Linked DNA regions of Tamandua tetradactyla. The protein of the gene in region 1 purifies or fractionates together with the protein of each later gene. This does not show direct contact. Links are inferred from orthologs where the notes say so. Each region holds a gene or a part of one and is shown on either strand. Other genes may lie near its edges.

The links.
Region 2: the proteins of SMAD3 (region 1) and RNF111 purify together in Homo sapiens (affinity purification with western blotting; 5 studies listed by BioGRID). This does not show direct contact. The link is inferred for Tamandua tetradactyla from reciprocal best matches to the Homo sapiens genes SMAD3 and RNF111.

What each region holds. Positions count from the first base shown.
Region 1 is NC_135340.1:84,248,021-84,254,941, forward strand, and holds the start of SMAD3 (mothers against decapentaplegic homolog 3), read left to right. Parts: upstream 1-3,901; 5' UTR 3,902-3,930; coding exon 3,931-4,136; intron 4,137-6,921. UniProt on the Homo sapiens protein: Receptor-regulated SMAD (R-SMAD) that is an intracellular signal transducer and transcriptional modulator activated by TGF-beta (transforming growth factor) and activin type 1 receptor kinases.
Region 2 is NC_135340.1:74,777,990-74,785,791, forward strand, and holds the start of RNF111 (E3 ubiquitin-protein ligase Arkadia), read left to right. Parts: upstream 1-4,792; 5' UTR 4,793-4,826; coding exon 4,827-4,894; intron 4,895-7,459; exon of another isoform or gene 7,460-7,517; coding exon of another isoform or gene 7,518-7,558; exon of another isoform or gene 7,559-7,564; intron 7,565-7,802. UniProt on the Homo sapiens protein: E3 ubiquitin-protein ligase. Required for mesoderm patterning during embryonic development. Acts as an enhancer of the transcriptional responses of the SMAD2/SMAD3 effectors, which are activated downstream of BMP.

The DNA.
Region 1 (6,921 bases):
GAGCTAGAAGGGACAGAGCTAGAAGTGTATGTAATACACATCTGTTTGGGGCCCTAGGAGAGCTCACAAAGTGCTACAGTGGGCTGTAGAGAGAGGTCAGGCTGCAGACAGAGGCTTTCTTAGGTGAGGTCCTAGCAGCCTGATGAAAGTTCTACTCCTGAGCTGGCTACTCACCTCCATAGAGCAAATCATCTCTCTTCACCAGATGTCACTTTCCATCTGTGTAAAAGGAGGGGCTTGCACTGGAGGAGAGTGATTCTAATGCTCTTTCTAGATTCATAATCTGTTGATAAATACCCTTTGGCTAATGGAAAAAATAATCAGAATCGAAGTCAGTTTTTCTTTCCAGTGTTCCACCTGGGAGCCACTCCAAATACATGAAAACCTTTTGGCACGTCTACTTATGAAGTTCCTCCCTGATAGGACTAACCATTCCCAGGGAAACAGAGTCGCTGCCTCCACCCCCATCCCACCTCTCTTGAACTTTGCACTGACCATGATGAAAAATTAACTGGGCTAATGTTTCTCTTCCAAGGATGACCTTTGCAAAAGCAGGCCTGGCTGGGCCCCTGGAGTCCAGGCGCCAGAACGGAGTTCCCAACCGTCCAGAGCCACCCACCCATCCCCACCAAAAGCAAAGAGAGCACGCAAGGTCCTCTTCATACTAGGGGGAATCAATTCTTAACCCCTGCTCAGCACCAGGTGAAACCGGACTTATTCTCCCAACTCTGAGAACCTGAGGCCAGGGCAGAAAGAACGAGCCCAGAAGCCTCACTTGGACTCACACAGTCCAGGACTGTTTTTCTGCATGCACAGCAGCTGTCCCTGTCATACGGATGCCGGCATGTTGAGGGAGGAAGCACAGGGAAGCATGCACGGTTCAGCCACACTAACTAGCTATCCAGTAGTTTTTTCCTCCTCTCAGGAAAATGAAAAAATGGCTGAACGAGGGCCCCTTCTGATGCTGTGATTTTAGAGGGAGCTCCCAGAAGGGGTAGGTTCATGTCAGGCCCTTCTACCATGTTCAGATCCTCTGCACAGCAAGTACTGTTTGCTCCATTCTTACAGCTCAGAGAACGGACACTCAGTAAAGGGAGAGAGAGAGAGCCAGGATCCAAAACCAGGTTAGTGGATGATGGAGCCTCAGCTCCTTTCACTTTACCTGGCTGCCTCTCAATAGTCAGACCTGTTTGATTTGATGCCAGGTTAAAATGAACATTTTCCTGGGAGATGGTTATTGCAAAGGCCTCCCTTTTGCCCATCCTTGCCAACTAAGGAACTCCTCACTCCTCATGCTTCTCTAGACCATGAGCTCCCTGAAGTTAGGGACCCTTACTTTCATTTCCACATTTCAGAACTGAGTAGAAGGACTGCAACACTGAGGGGCCAAATAAATGCTTATCTTACTGAACTGGACTCCCTCATCCACACCATTCTGAAGGCGTTCGCAAAGGCCCCAAGATGTCAGTTCTACTCCTTTATGACACTTGACCCTTTGCAATTTACATTAGATTCCCACAACCTTCCTAGGAGGTTGAGCGGAAAGCTATTTCTAATCCCATTTTGTAGGTAAGCAAATATTTCTTGCGGTGTCACAACAGTGCACCTGTGTAAAGGACTTTTGTTTTGCAAAGAGCTCTATCAATGATGTCGCTTTCTTCCACCACTCTGCAAGGCAGCTAAAGAATGCGGACTGAGGCCTCACAAAGCCTGGGCTTCAAATCCCAGCTCTGTAGTTTGGAACCCTGTGCAAGCATTGTCATCTCTCTGTGCTTCCAGTTCTGGTTCTGTAAATTGTGAAGATTATTAAATCAGAGGGTAGCTCTTGAGTCACCTGGAATGAAGAAAGCAATCAGTAAAGGCTGATTGCCTTCCTTCTCTTTTTGTATGGGGAAACTGAGGGCTGAGAACGAGGGAGTGGAACCTAAGAGGACAGTGATTGTCACAGGGTTAGCAGGAGGGCCAGCCAGCAATGTGAACCAGGCTGCAAAGCCTCAGTTGGGAGCTCAGGGCTTCTCCAAGCAGGTGGGGAGTAGGGAGGAGGGGGGGCAAGAGTGTAGAGCTCAGGAGCAGCTGCTGACCGGCTTGCGGAACCCGCAGCTCTTGGGCTGACTTTGAGGATTCGGCCACACCTCGCTGGGCTTTGTAACTCCCCACCTGCTTGAGGGTTTGCCGCTAACTTTTTTTTTTCTCACCACGGGGGTTTCCTGCTGTTAAAAACAAACAAAGGCTATGAGCCTGATAGGGGAAGCACAGAAGGAGATAGCCTTGGGGAACCGGGGTAACTCCTGAAAGCAGCTGAGGGGTCTGTGGTCAGAGGCCCCTGAATTCTGCTGGTGAGGAGAAAAACCCCAGGTCTCTCCAATACCTCCGGTATTTCTCTGCTTTCCACTAAGGCTAACTCTGAACACATAAACTTCTGGAGTACTCCCCATTTGCCCCACTTCTTATGACTTCAGGCTTTGGAAACAAAGCTCTTTCACCCTCTATTTATTGGGTGTCGAATTTCAGATCTTTTTTTTTTCTCTATCATAAGAGCTCACAACGACCTGTAATGTGTACTTTTTTTTTTTTTATATCAAAACTAAATTTCAAAGCGCCCCCATTCACTCCTTCATGTACTCGATACATGTCTTTGAAACCCATTTTCTGTCTGGCACTTGGTTCACAGGGTGCAAGGAATCCCTGGCTCCTGATAGAGCCTAGGGAGTCACTGGGTTCCCCAAATCTCCACTTGCAAGAGTCATCTTCTACCCCCCTCAACTACCGCCTCCGCACACAGGCTTAGGGCTCTCACCCGGGGTGACCGAACCCGTGAGTGAATTTTAGAAGTTCCCAGCCTGCCTGCGAGGCCCCCGACCGTGGTCAGCCTGGCTGGCCTAGTGCACGTCCTGACTTCGCCGGCCTCAGCCTTAAGTGCGCCCCCTCTCGGGCCCGGGTCTCCAGGGGTGCATCGCCAGCCCCGGGCCAGACGGCGCTAACTTGAAGCGGGTCTACTCCTCCCCCGGCCGCAACTTCATTTGAGCTTCCCGGGAGAGGGTTCCAAGAGCGGACGCCACGGCCCTCCCGCCTAGGGCCCCCTCTTGTTCCTTTCCCACGACTTCCTACCCGCGCCCGCCCGACCTCGGGTCGGGGCCGCGCGGACTGCCGCGCGCTCCAGCCCCGGGCCGCCGCGGTCCCCGGCCGCCCACGTGGGCCTGCTCGGCGCGGGGCGGGGGCAGGCCGGCAGCCCTCCCCGAGCCAGGGGCGGGCAGGGCGCCCGGGGGAGAAGGCGGCGGGGCGCGGAGAAGGAGGCGGGGAGCCCCAGCGGCGAGGGGGCGGTGACAGCGTTTGGAAAGGAGGCTGCACGCGGATTTGCATGAAACACAGACTGGGAGCGGGCGGGAGCGGGAGCGCGGCGCACGCACCGGGCCGGCCCAGCGAGCGAGCGAGCGAACGAGCGAGCAGGGAGGAGGAGGGAAACTGGGGAGGCGAGGCGCGAGAGACCGAGGGATTTGCGCGTCAGAGCCGGCGAGGAGAGCAAAGTTTGGCTCAGGGGTCGGACTTTTCCTTCCCGGAGGCGGCACCCAAACAGCCACCCCGTGCGGAAACCCAAACTTTTTTCAGCCACTCGAGTCTCCAGGCCGATTCCTCCGCCCGGCGTTCGGGGCCTGCCCGACCCGGCGCCGCTGCCGTCCTCCTGCCCGCCTCCTTCCCCTTCTGCCAGCCGTGGGAGCCGCTTGGGGCGCACGCCGAGTCCCGCCGGCTGCAGCGCCGCGCGGCCCAGCCCGGCGCACCAGAAAGTTCGCCCGGAGTTGAGGAGAAGTTTGGGCGGCCGCGGCCGGCCGGGCAGAGCTCCCCTCTGCGCCCCCGGCGTCCCGCCGCGCCCAGCCCCGCCGGGGGCGCCCCTCGCCGCCCGCGCCCTGACCCCCACCCAGCCTCCCCTCAGCCATGTCGTCCATCCTGCCCTTCACCCCCCCGATCGTGAAGCGCCTGCTGGGCTGGAAGAAGGGCGAGCAGAACGGGCAGGAGGAGAAGTGGTGCGAGAAGGCGGTCAAGAGCCTCGTCAAGAAGCTCAAGAAGACGGGGCAGCTGGACGAGCTGGAGAAGGCCATCACCACGCAGAGCGTCAACACCAAGTGCATCACCATCCCCAGGTGGGGGCTTGGGGGGCCTGGGGGGCGCGCCGGGCCCAGCCCCCTGGCGCGGAGAGGCCGGCTCTGTGGGTTTGGAGAGGCATGGTGTGTGTGTGTGTGTGTGTGTGTGTGTGTGTGTGTGTGTGTGTGTGTGTATGTGTGTGTATGTGTGTGTGGGGGGGGGGAGCGAGAGCGCGGACAGGAGGGGGGTGGGATGGGGGACCCCCAAGCAAAACCCTCTCTGAATTTGCAGTTATTCAGAAATGCTTTCAAACGGCACTCTCGCTTCCAGACTTCACGTGCGCTTTTCGCCGCTCAGAAAGTAGGGGTTGGGGTGGGGGTGGGGCTGCTGGCGTTGACCGCCCCCACCCCGGATTGCTGCGGGCTGGAAGTTGAGGCCCGCTTTGTTCGGCTCGGCGGGCCCGAGCCCCTCCTCCGCCGCCACCGCCGCCGCCTCCCGCCCCGCGGCCCGCGCTCGTGGAGGTGGTGGTGTCTCTCCCTTTCTTCCCCTCAGTCCTGTGCCCCCTCTTCTTTCCTGCTTAACAGGAATGTAGTCCGTACAGCTGGGGCTGTGGGTGAGGAGCGGGAGCCTCGTGATTGACAGATTCCTTCTTCGTTCTCTCTTTGCCTTCGGGATTAGCATTTTTATCGAGTATTTTTAGACTCGGTTGTGCCAGCCTCCCGCCCCCTCCGCAAGCATGCACTTTTAAGTTGCAGTGCAGTGCTCTGACTTTCAAATGGGAGAGACAAGTGGCAGAGAGTAGGGGCTTCCTGTCCTACCCTCTCCCATCCCGGACTGCTTTTGCTCTCCTTTTCAGTCTGAGATTGCGGGGTGAAGCAGAACACAGAGCGGGCTAGAGCCGGTCAGATAACAGAACGCAACCCGAAGTGGGCCTCCATCGGCCCTCGCATTCCTGCAGAGCCCTCCTTCCCAAAGCGCTTTGCCATCTGTTTGGACCTCCTTTATCCCCCGCATCGGGCAAGCTGGGTCGGGCGGGAGCTCACAGATGGCTGATAGAAAGGGGTCAGTGACTTCTCTCCTCTCCCCACGACCTTCCCTTTATCTATGCTAGGCTGGGAATTGGGATGGGGTGCTGGGGGCCACCTTGGCCTCCTGTCTCTCCCTCCCAGACCCCTTTGAAATCTTATTCTGAACCAAGGCCAAGGGAGTGGAGTGCAGAGGAACAAGTTGAGGAGCCCCAGGGCCTGATTCTGGGAGGGATTTTCATCCTTGCTCCTGGGCCTGGAGTGGACTCCATCCTTGGCCACCTGCTTGGGGCAGCTGTGCAGGGGCTGCCAGCCGGGTCAGGCAGGCACAAAGCAACATCTGTCCAAGGGAACCCAGGACAGGCCTCCTTTGGAAATAAATGCCACATATGGTGGGAGTGCTGACTTTAAAAATAATAATTTTTTTAAAAAAACTGGGTGGATCCAGTCAGTAAAGGGGGAGGGAAGGCGGTGTGCTGTCTGGAAGTGCGCTCTGGGTGTGTGATTGGAAGTTAGAATTGACTTCAGAGGAGGTGGTGTGATGTGATGATCAGAGCCACCTGGGTTCTGGCCTCAGCTCTGGTTTTTTAATTCCTCTTTATTCCTCTGATGGGATTAGATATCATCCTTCCCCGACCTAGAGAGGGGTCTGCAAAACCTGCTTTCTCCTTACTTGTGGAGGTACATCAAGGACAAATGCTTTATGGGCTACAGCAGAGAAATGATGTCAGTTGTAACAACAAGCAGCTATATAAAGTGTTTCACAATTTACAAAGCACTTTCACATGGTTTTATGAGGTTCTCGGAGAAAGAACCCTCTGGAAAATAGATAAAGCAGTTATGCTTAAGATTCTCATTTTTAAAGTTGAGAAAACTTTGGAGGAGAAAGGTGAAAAGGTTTGACATAGTGGGCAAAGATATCTGGTGCTCTTTTGCTGCCTTGTACTCTGAAGGTTCTGAATAAATTATTTGCAGAATGCTTAAATCACTGTTATGCGTGTACGTGGGGGGTGGGGGGACTGAAGGGGGGTTGGTGCTTCCTTTAATAAGGGTGCTCGTGTTTAATCTTCGGGCAGGTTGCAGTTTGGAGAAGCAGCCTGGCTTTCTCTTGCCTTGGTGAGAGTTTGTCCTCTGGAGAGGCATAGCTCTGGCCTGCCTTTTCTTTTTCCAAAGCCCTCCAAAGCTGAGCCGTGTCAACACTTGGTAGTTCGGGCTAACCTGCTCCTGAGCTTTTTCCTTCTTAAGGACTGGGGCACCTTTTACCTGCCTGGCAAGGATCTATTGCTAAGGTACTTTTTTATTTTATTTTTTTTTTATTTTTATTGTTTATCCTTTCCCAGTTAGGGAAGCCCAGTTTCTTGGTTGGATCCAGACAGAATGGATTTCCATCCGCGGATTTCATGCCCGCGTCTCTGGGTCACCTTGTTTCCCTTGGCAACAGCTACTGCTGTTTTGGTCGTGGGCAGAAAACTAAAGGCCACGTCTTGGGTAGGTGGCTGGCGGCCTCGTGCTAGTGATACTGGAGTGTCTGCTAAGCCCCTTAGACGGTGGAGCTGCTTGTCAACTTGTCTGCGTTTTTCACGTAGCCTCTTCAAACTCGGGCTTTGGAAAGTAGACAAGGGGAACTGTTTAACCTGGTCATCCCGCTTGTGGGGGCACACTCTGCCATCTGGGCCCGGGGTTGAAGGAGCCCTCAGACCAAGGGGATTATGACAAGCATACTTTGGCTAATGTGTAATCGCGAGCAGCCACAGCGTTTGGCAATTATAGCCGTATGCTAGAGGCTTCCAGAACACATGCTCCTTTCTCTGTTACTGCA
Region 2 (7,802 bases), about 9.5 Mb from region 1:
AATATTTCAACAAGTTCTCAAGATTCACTTAACTCATTGCGTTAAATCTGCAAACTTTGCTTCATGTTCTTCCAAAGAGTTCACAAAGCTGGCAACATAGTAAGTTGCCCTAACTTGCAAACTTTATACAGTTTTGAAGTTTGCAGTGGATGGTGGGGATACCAATCCTCCCTTTTGATATAAGTGATTTGTAAAAATTGTCCTTTTATCCTTTTATTGCAGGTGACCCATTAATTCAGCTTAGCATTTTCACGTTTGGACCCAACTCCTCAAATTCCTGCGTAACAGGTAGTTAGGCATTGTCACTCCCTGTATGCAGGCTAATTTGGTAAATATTATTTTGCTGCATGTCAGGTAGGCAAAATTTGGTTTGAAGAATGTGTTGGATCCCCCTGATCTTTCCACAGATGAGTAAAATTAATTTTCAGAGAGTTCAAATGATTTAATTAAAATGAAGGATTCCTAGTTTTTTAGTGGCAAAACTGAACCCCGGTCTCCTTGTTCAGTTCATTAAAAAATTTATTGAGTGCTCTTCTTCTACAAGGATAAAAAGACAAATTTTCTTGGTTTTAGTTTTTTTTGGAAGAGACAGTTGTATATAAAATTTATACTGTTTACAATAGAAGGATATACCAAGATTGAAGAGGGTATGGGACTGGGAGTGATTATTAACTACCTCAGGGTGGGGAAAGTGGCAAGGAAATGCTTCATGGAGAAGGACTTTTTTTTTTTTTTTCATGGGCAGGCACTGCGAATCGAAGCCTGGTCTCCAGCATGGTAGGCGAGAACTCTGCCACTGTGTCACCATTGCCACAGACTTTTTTGTTTCACTTAAAATAATTTTTTTTTATTAGATCAGTTTTAGGTTTACAAAAAAATCAGGCAAAAAGTAAAAACTTCCTATATACACTCCCACACAGTTTTCCTTATTAGCATTTGCATTAGTGTGGTACCTTTGTTACAGCTGATGAGACATTATTATGCTTATACTATTAACTATAGTCCACAGTTTTCTTTAGGGTTCACTCTTTGTGTTGTACAGTTCTATGAGTTTTTTAAAATTTTTTATTTTTTAACATATAAACAAACTCAAATTTTCCATTTTAACCACTTTCAAATATACAATTCAGTGGTGTTAATTACATTCACAAAGTTGTACTACCGTCCCCACCATTTTTTACCGAGCTTTTCTATCAATCCAAACAGAAACTCTACCAATTAATCATTAACTCCCCATTCTCCACTCTCACTTTGGACTCCGTCTCCTGTATGGTAATTTCTGAAACTATGAATCTGCGTATTCTAATTATTTCAAATCAATGAGATCATATAATATTTGTCCTTTTGTAACTGGCTTATTTAACTTAGCATGATGATGTCTTAAACGTTCATCCATGTTGCTGCATGCATCAGAACTTCATTTTTTATGGTTGAATAATGTTCCATTGAATGTATATATTACACTTTTAAAATATACTATTCATGATTAGATGAATTATTATTCATCTGTTGTAGGACACAGATTTTTTTGGAAATTGTGAATAATGCTGCTATCAACATCAGAGTGCAAATATTTACTCAAGTCCTTGCTTTCAATTCTTTTGTGGTATATACCTATAAGTGGGATTACCAGGCCATATGGTAGTACTGTTTTTAACAATCTGAGGAACTGCAAACTGTTTTTCACAGTGACTGCACTTTATATTCCCACTAACAGTGTATGAGTGTTCCTATTTCATGGGGGAGGGTTTTGAGGAATGGATAAGAGTTTGCTAGGCAGATAAAGCAGGTGGGGGATGAAGAGGAATGGGGTAGAGTGCTTTGATGCAGAAAGAACGGTCAGTACAAAGGCAGCGGGAAATGAAACAGTACATTTTTTCTAAGATCTACAGGAAGTCTGAAAAGTCTGCTCAAGTATAAGTAAGGGCAGGAGTGTAGGCTGGTGACAGCGGTGATGTGAAATGGCAGTGAGATTTTAGATTTTGAATACTTTATTTGGCAAGCTATTTAGGACTGTATTCTAAAGAAGACAGAGGGTTCCTGAAGGATTTTAAGCAAATTAGTGTCTTGATCAGTTTTTCCAACATTTTGACAATGGTCTGTAGTTCATTTGGTGATAATGGAAGGAGCAGAAACAGAGAAATCAGGAAAATATTGTGTCCATTTCAGATTAGCGATATCTCTGACCCCTACAATTAGCTATTATATCTCTAAATACAACTTTTTGGCACCTGTTCTCTCATAGTCTTACTGTGTTTCTACTCTGGGTTTCCTGCCCTTGATTTGTTGCCCATATACTTACTGTCTTCCCTGTCTTCATCTGACCACTCAGCCATTTCCAAACGTGAAATCTTAGCAGATGGCCTTACCTCATGTTTCATAGAGAAAATCAAGGTCAATCTATCCGAAAGCCCTCAATTTGCCCCCCAAAACTAAACTGTCTCAGTGGAAGGGGTGGCCCTTCCATTCATGGCTAATTCTTCCACCTGAGCTTTGAATCCCGTTTCTCTGCCTCTATAGGGATTTTTCTCCTTTGAGCATTCCTTTATTTCTATTATCTTTCACCTCTCTTTTCTACTGGCTCTTTCCCTTAAGCAGGCCAATAGGATTCAAATCGTGCCTCTCTGACTCCATATTCTGTTAGATGTGTCTGTCTTTATTCTTCCATTTACTATCAATTTCATGAAAAGATACTTGTCTCTGTCTAACTTCATTGCTCAATCTTTTCTAAACCATTAAGATTTCTCAATCTGGTTACTACTGACATTTTGGACCAGATGATAATTTGTTTTGGGGGGCTGCCCTGTGAATTACAGAATGCATAGCAGCATCCCTAGCCTCTACCCACTAGATGTTAGTTGCATTCCCCTCAATCTCCCCTGGTTGTGACAAACAGAAAATGTCCAACATTGCCAAATGATGTGGGGGTGGGGTGGATGGGAGTGGAGAGTGGTGAGCAAGGATTGTTCCCAGTTGAGAACCACTGATTTAACCCAGCATATCCAAAATATTATTTCAACATGTACTCATTATAAGAAATTAGTGGGATATTTTACAGTCTTCTAAAAATAATCTACTTTACATCGTGGAATTGGATGTAAAATTTCCACTTACAGCACTTTTCAGTTTGTACTAGATCAATTTTAAGAGTTCAACAGCCATATTAGAGAGTGCAGGTCTAAAGCTTTAGATGAAAGATTAGGGCTGTACATATGGGTTGGAGAAATCATGAGGCATTAACAGTTAAAACCATGTTTTAGTTCAGACAACTAAACTAAATAGTTGTATTTAGACAAAAATGTGTATTTTTGTTCACATTTGAAAAAATTTTCAAAGTTCAGACAAAAATGTGTATTTAGAGTGAGAAAATAAGAGGATTAAGGAAGAATCCTAGTCCATTGCTCTTCTAGTTTCCCTACACATCTGCTGCCCCCCCCTTTTTTAAAGATATCTTCACTGAGCAATATGGACAACATGAGTGAACAAAGGAAAGGGTATTGAGAAAGATGAGTTGATGGCAAAGGAATTAATGTTTATTGAACATTTAACTGGTAAGTAATATTAGGGACATTAATTAAACTGTCTCATTTAATCTCACACGAACCCTTTGAGGTAAATAATGCTATCCCAATTTATAACGAAGGAAACTAAGATTTACAAATATTTAATAAACCAAACAGCTGTTAAGTGGCATCATTGAAATTTGAAGGGGAAGTCTGTCTGATTGACTCTAAGTTGGTGCTCTTTCCCTACATCCTCCAAGTGCACATAATGAAGCATGTGCTATCTATTCATTTTATAAGATAATTAAATAAAAAGGCTTATGTGATTGTACAGCTACAGCCAGGTTCCCAGGACGTTTATTACCACTGTTAATCTGATTCCGGAAACAAATTCGCCTTAATAATTCGCACAGTGAGGTGCTGTGCGTGGTCTTTATGCCATTAGCGCGGATGATTTGGATATCACGGGTCGTGAAAGACACCAAACCATGCTGTTTTTAAGTGTACCGTAGGTATAGTCAATAATTTTGTGGCTAGTCCAATTTTTAGTTACAAAAGATTTATCAAAGAGGTAGTAAAAAATTTACCTAGGTATTGAACACACAATCACCAAGGAAAATAAAATAATGAGCTTTGTGACACGTTCGGTTTCGCCAACAGACTGGTAAAGTGATTACAAAGGGGGAGGGGCGGGGCAAGGGGGCGGGACAGTGGGAAACAAGAATCTGAGCAAGCGCAGAAACAAGCGCTATTAATGGAGCCGTGAAGGCTATTGCGCTCTCACTTTCCGAACTGTCGTAAAGGACCCAAGTGTCGTTCTCGTTCTGTAGAGGAGGGATTGGTTAGGCGGCGGCGGCAGCGGTAGTGGAGCAGCAGCAGTGGCGGCGATGGTATCGAGGTCCTCGATTTGCGCAGCATAGAAACGCCCGCATCTTTGGAGAAGGAGTTTCTCTGGGGCGAAATCAGGCATTCTAAACCCAAGCCGGGTTGACTGGGCCGAGCCCAGGCATTGCCGGTCTTACAGTTTTGGTGGCGGTGACAGACGCTGCTCTTGGCTACAGGGGCCTATTTAGGCCGAGATCTGAGTCGCGGATCGCTAGCTCTCGACGCATTCCCTTCCCCCCTCACATCTCCTGTCTTCTTTCCTGGGCCAGTGATTCCCGGACCCTGGGAAGAGGGTGGCTAATGACTAAGGTGAGGGGCCGGGGGGAGGGGATCGATTGGAGGCCGCGCGTGCGCGCATCGGGGGAGGGGCTGCCCAGGAGGCGAGAAAGAGGAAGGGCTGCGGCTGGGGTCGGCGACCGGCGGGTTGTTGCCCGCGGGATGGTGGCCTGGGGTCTGAGTTTGGATTCGGGCAAAGCGTATGTGTACAGACACACCCACACCCCAGAGTAAGGGAGTATGGATGAGGGGATTTCTTTCCTTTTTTGACTCTCCCTAGTCTTATGATGGGGGCTCTTGACTGAGGCGTGAGAGTACAATTTGACAATGGAGTGATGAAGGTAACCTGGACTGAGGGAGTTGGAGGGCGCTAGGTCAACCCTGCCGATTAGGGAGTTGCCTTCTTGTGAGATCAAGGAAACATAGTCCGTGGAACAGCCGAAATACAGACGCGTCAGATATTTGTGTGGAGTTGACTTGTAGATCATTAAAAAAGAAGCTTGATTTTTTTTATTATTGCCCTTAGATAATTTACCAGAGTCAGTAGCTGTGCTATAGTGGACATACCTATTCTGTATTGCAGGATGAGAGATTTTCCCACAATAGTTTTAAAATAGGTTTTGGTAGATTTTTGCAGATGCTTCTTAAAGCAAGGGTAATTTTTAACGTTTAAAAAATACCAGGAAGTATAGGGTGTTCATTTATTTTGTTGGTGTTTGTAGTATGGGGTGACTCCACTGCACTGTTGTAAGCTTTCCTGTTTCTTGGTTTACGTGCACTATGAATTTAGAACTCTTGAGTGATAAGATACAAGCTGACATAGGCTTCGTTTTATATGAGTTCTTACTGCTTTTCAACCTGACTTCAAAGTTTATTTCGCTTGATATTTTATACTTTTCTTGTTTTACGGGCCTCTTCAACCAAAAAGTACAGGATGGGGAAAAGATAAGCCTAATGTTGCCTTACCTTATCTTAGCCTTTGCCATTTTTGTCTTTTATGTCATTGCATTCATATGCTAGAATGTGATTTTGATGTTACCTAGAAGCTCTACAATACGGGTTTTACCTGGCTTAATTAGAGATGAAGATCTACGTTTCTATAGTTTACAATCCTTACTAAAAATTTTCATGTCAACATAAAACATGTTGTTTTTCATACTAAATAGTAGTCTTTGTCTACGTTTGTGGGACAAACCAGATGGGATAGGAAGAAAGCAACCCCTTTACCCTGAAAAGAGTCTTGAATAGGATTTTTTTTTTTTTTTTTTTTACAAAGCCTTTATTTGGTTCCTAACACTGTCTTGCCATTTAACCTTGGACAAATGACTTTATCATCTCTGCTTGGTCATTTTTTTGTTTGCCGCTTAATATTTGTAGTAGTATTCTAAGAATTGGTGAGGGATGTTTTTCAATTGGCTTGAACAATATTGTTGGTAAATTTTAAGAGTAGAGTTTCTGTCTTAGGTAGATCCTTTTTCTTCTGTTACCTTTTCCCTTTTGTTTGGTGTTTTTTGGCCACATAATTCTTTCACTAAAAACTGTTAGATCTTGGAGAAAGGTATTATCCAAATAATATGTTTTGATGAAAAATTTATTATGTAGAGGTTATAACTTGAAATTTCTAGATTTGGTGACTTTCACTTTGGTAGTAAGTCTATTCTCAATTTTTCCGCCTGATTGGGAAATAGCTATACTCATATTTAAAACAAGAGAACAGCAATTTAACATCTAAAGCTAAGAAATTTTTAGTGAATGCGCTTAAATAGAATTATTTTCATTTTTACTCACATTTTAACATGTGGAATGAAAAATTTATTGAATTGAACCAAATTTTACTTAAGGCATAATAATATGTGCCCTTACTTTGATTAAGGACTAAGTAATCAAAGATTACTATGGACTAAGACTTCGAATAGGAAAAAAAAAAATGACAGTCCTAAAAATAATAACAATTAAAATACATTATAATGACGTCACTATTCTCAGAGGACAGTGTCTTATGAAAGAATATAGGACGAGAGACAGTAGATCAGGATTTTTACATCTGGTTTTGCTATCCATTAGACCTTTGACTGTTTTGCTAATCTTTGTTGGCTTCAGATCACTCTCAATTGTTAAAAAGAGAAATTTGGGACAGATAATTCTGGTTTTCTCTAATCTCTTTATTAGATTTGTTTTAAGGTTAGGTGTTTTTGGTATATATTGTTGTATTCATCACAATCAAATCCCCAGAAGGAAATTCTATGCTCAGAGTATAAATTCCTTCATATTATGTATATATATCAGAAAAATACTTAGGATGAAGCCGTGTTTGTTGTTCCACATGAAACTACTGTCCTATTGCAGATACTACTCATGCTCTAACAGCCTTCATTAATAGGGTCCTCAAATATTACTCCTAGTAATGTTCTTTAATATCATCCTGAATGTTTTTTCTTTCAGAAACTTGTAATCATTGTTCAGTAAAAGTCCAGAATTGCATTTGGATGTTTTATACCTCTGTTCTTTGTCTTGTGCATCCTAGAGATTCTTGGTAACAACTGGCCCTGTTTTCCGCAGATGCTTGATATGTACCATTGCATGAGGAGTGAACTACATGTTTATAAACAAATTCTGAGCTGAACTTAATTTTTTTGGGGGGTGCATAGTCCGGGAATTGAACCCGGATCTCCTGCATGGAAGACAAGCATTCTACCATTGAACCACCCGTGCACCCTGAACTTAAATTTTAAGTAGAGGTACTACATTAGTATTTAGTCATTCAGTGTGTATTTATTGAATGTTTTATGTTTTAGGTAATGTTCTTGGTCTTTGGGATTCATCAGTGAAGGTAGCACTCTGCCTTCATGGAGCATGCCCTCTGTTGTGAGGAGACATAAACAGAATAAATTCAGGTAGTGGTAAGTGCCGGGAAGAAAATGAAACAGGATCTGATAGAGACTGGATCTACTATGGATTGTTTAGGGTGTGCCTTTTTTTTTCTTTTTAAACTTTTTTTATTGTATAATATAGCATACGTACAAAGCAAAAAAAGGAAAAAGCAATAGTTTTCAAAGCAGTCTTCAACAGGTAGTTATAGGACAGATCCCAGAGTTTGTCATGGTCCACCATACCATCATCTCAGATTTTTCCTTCTAG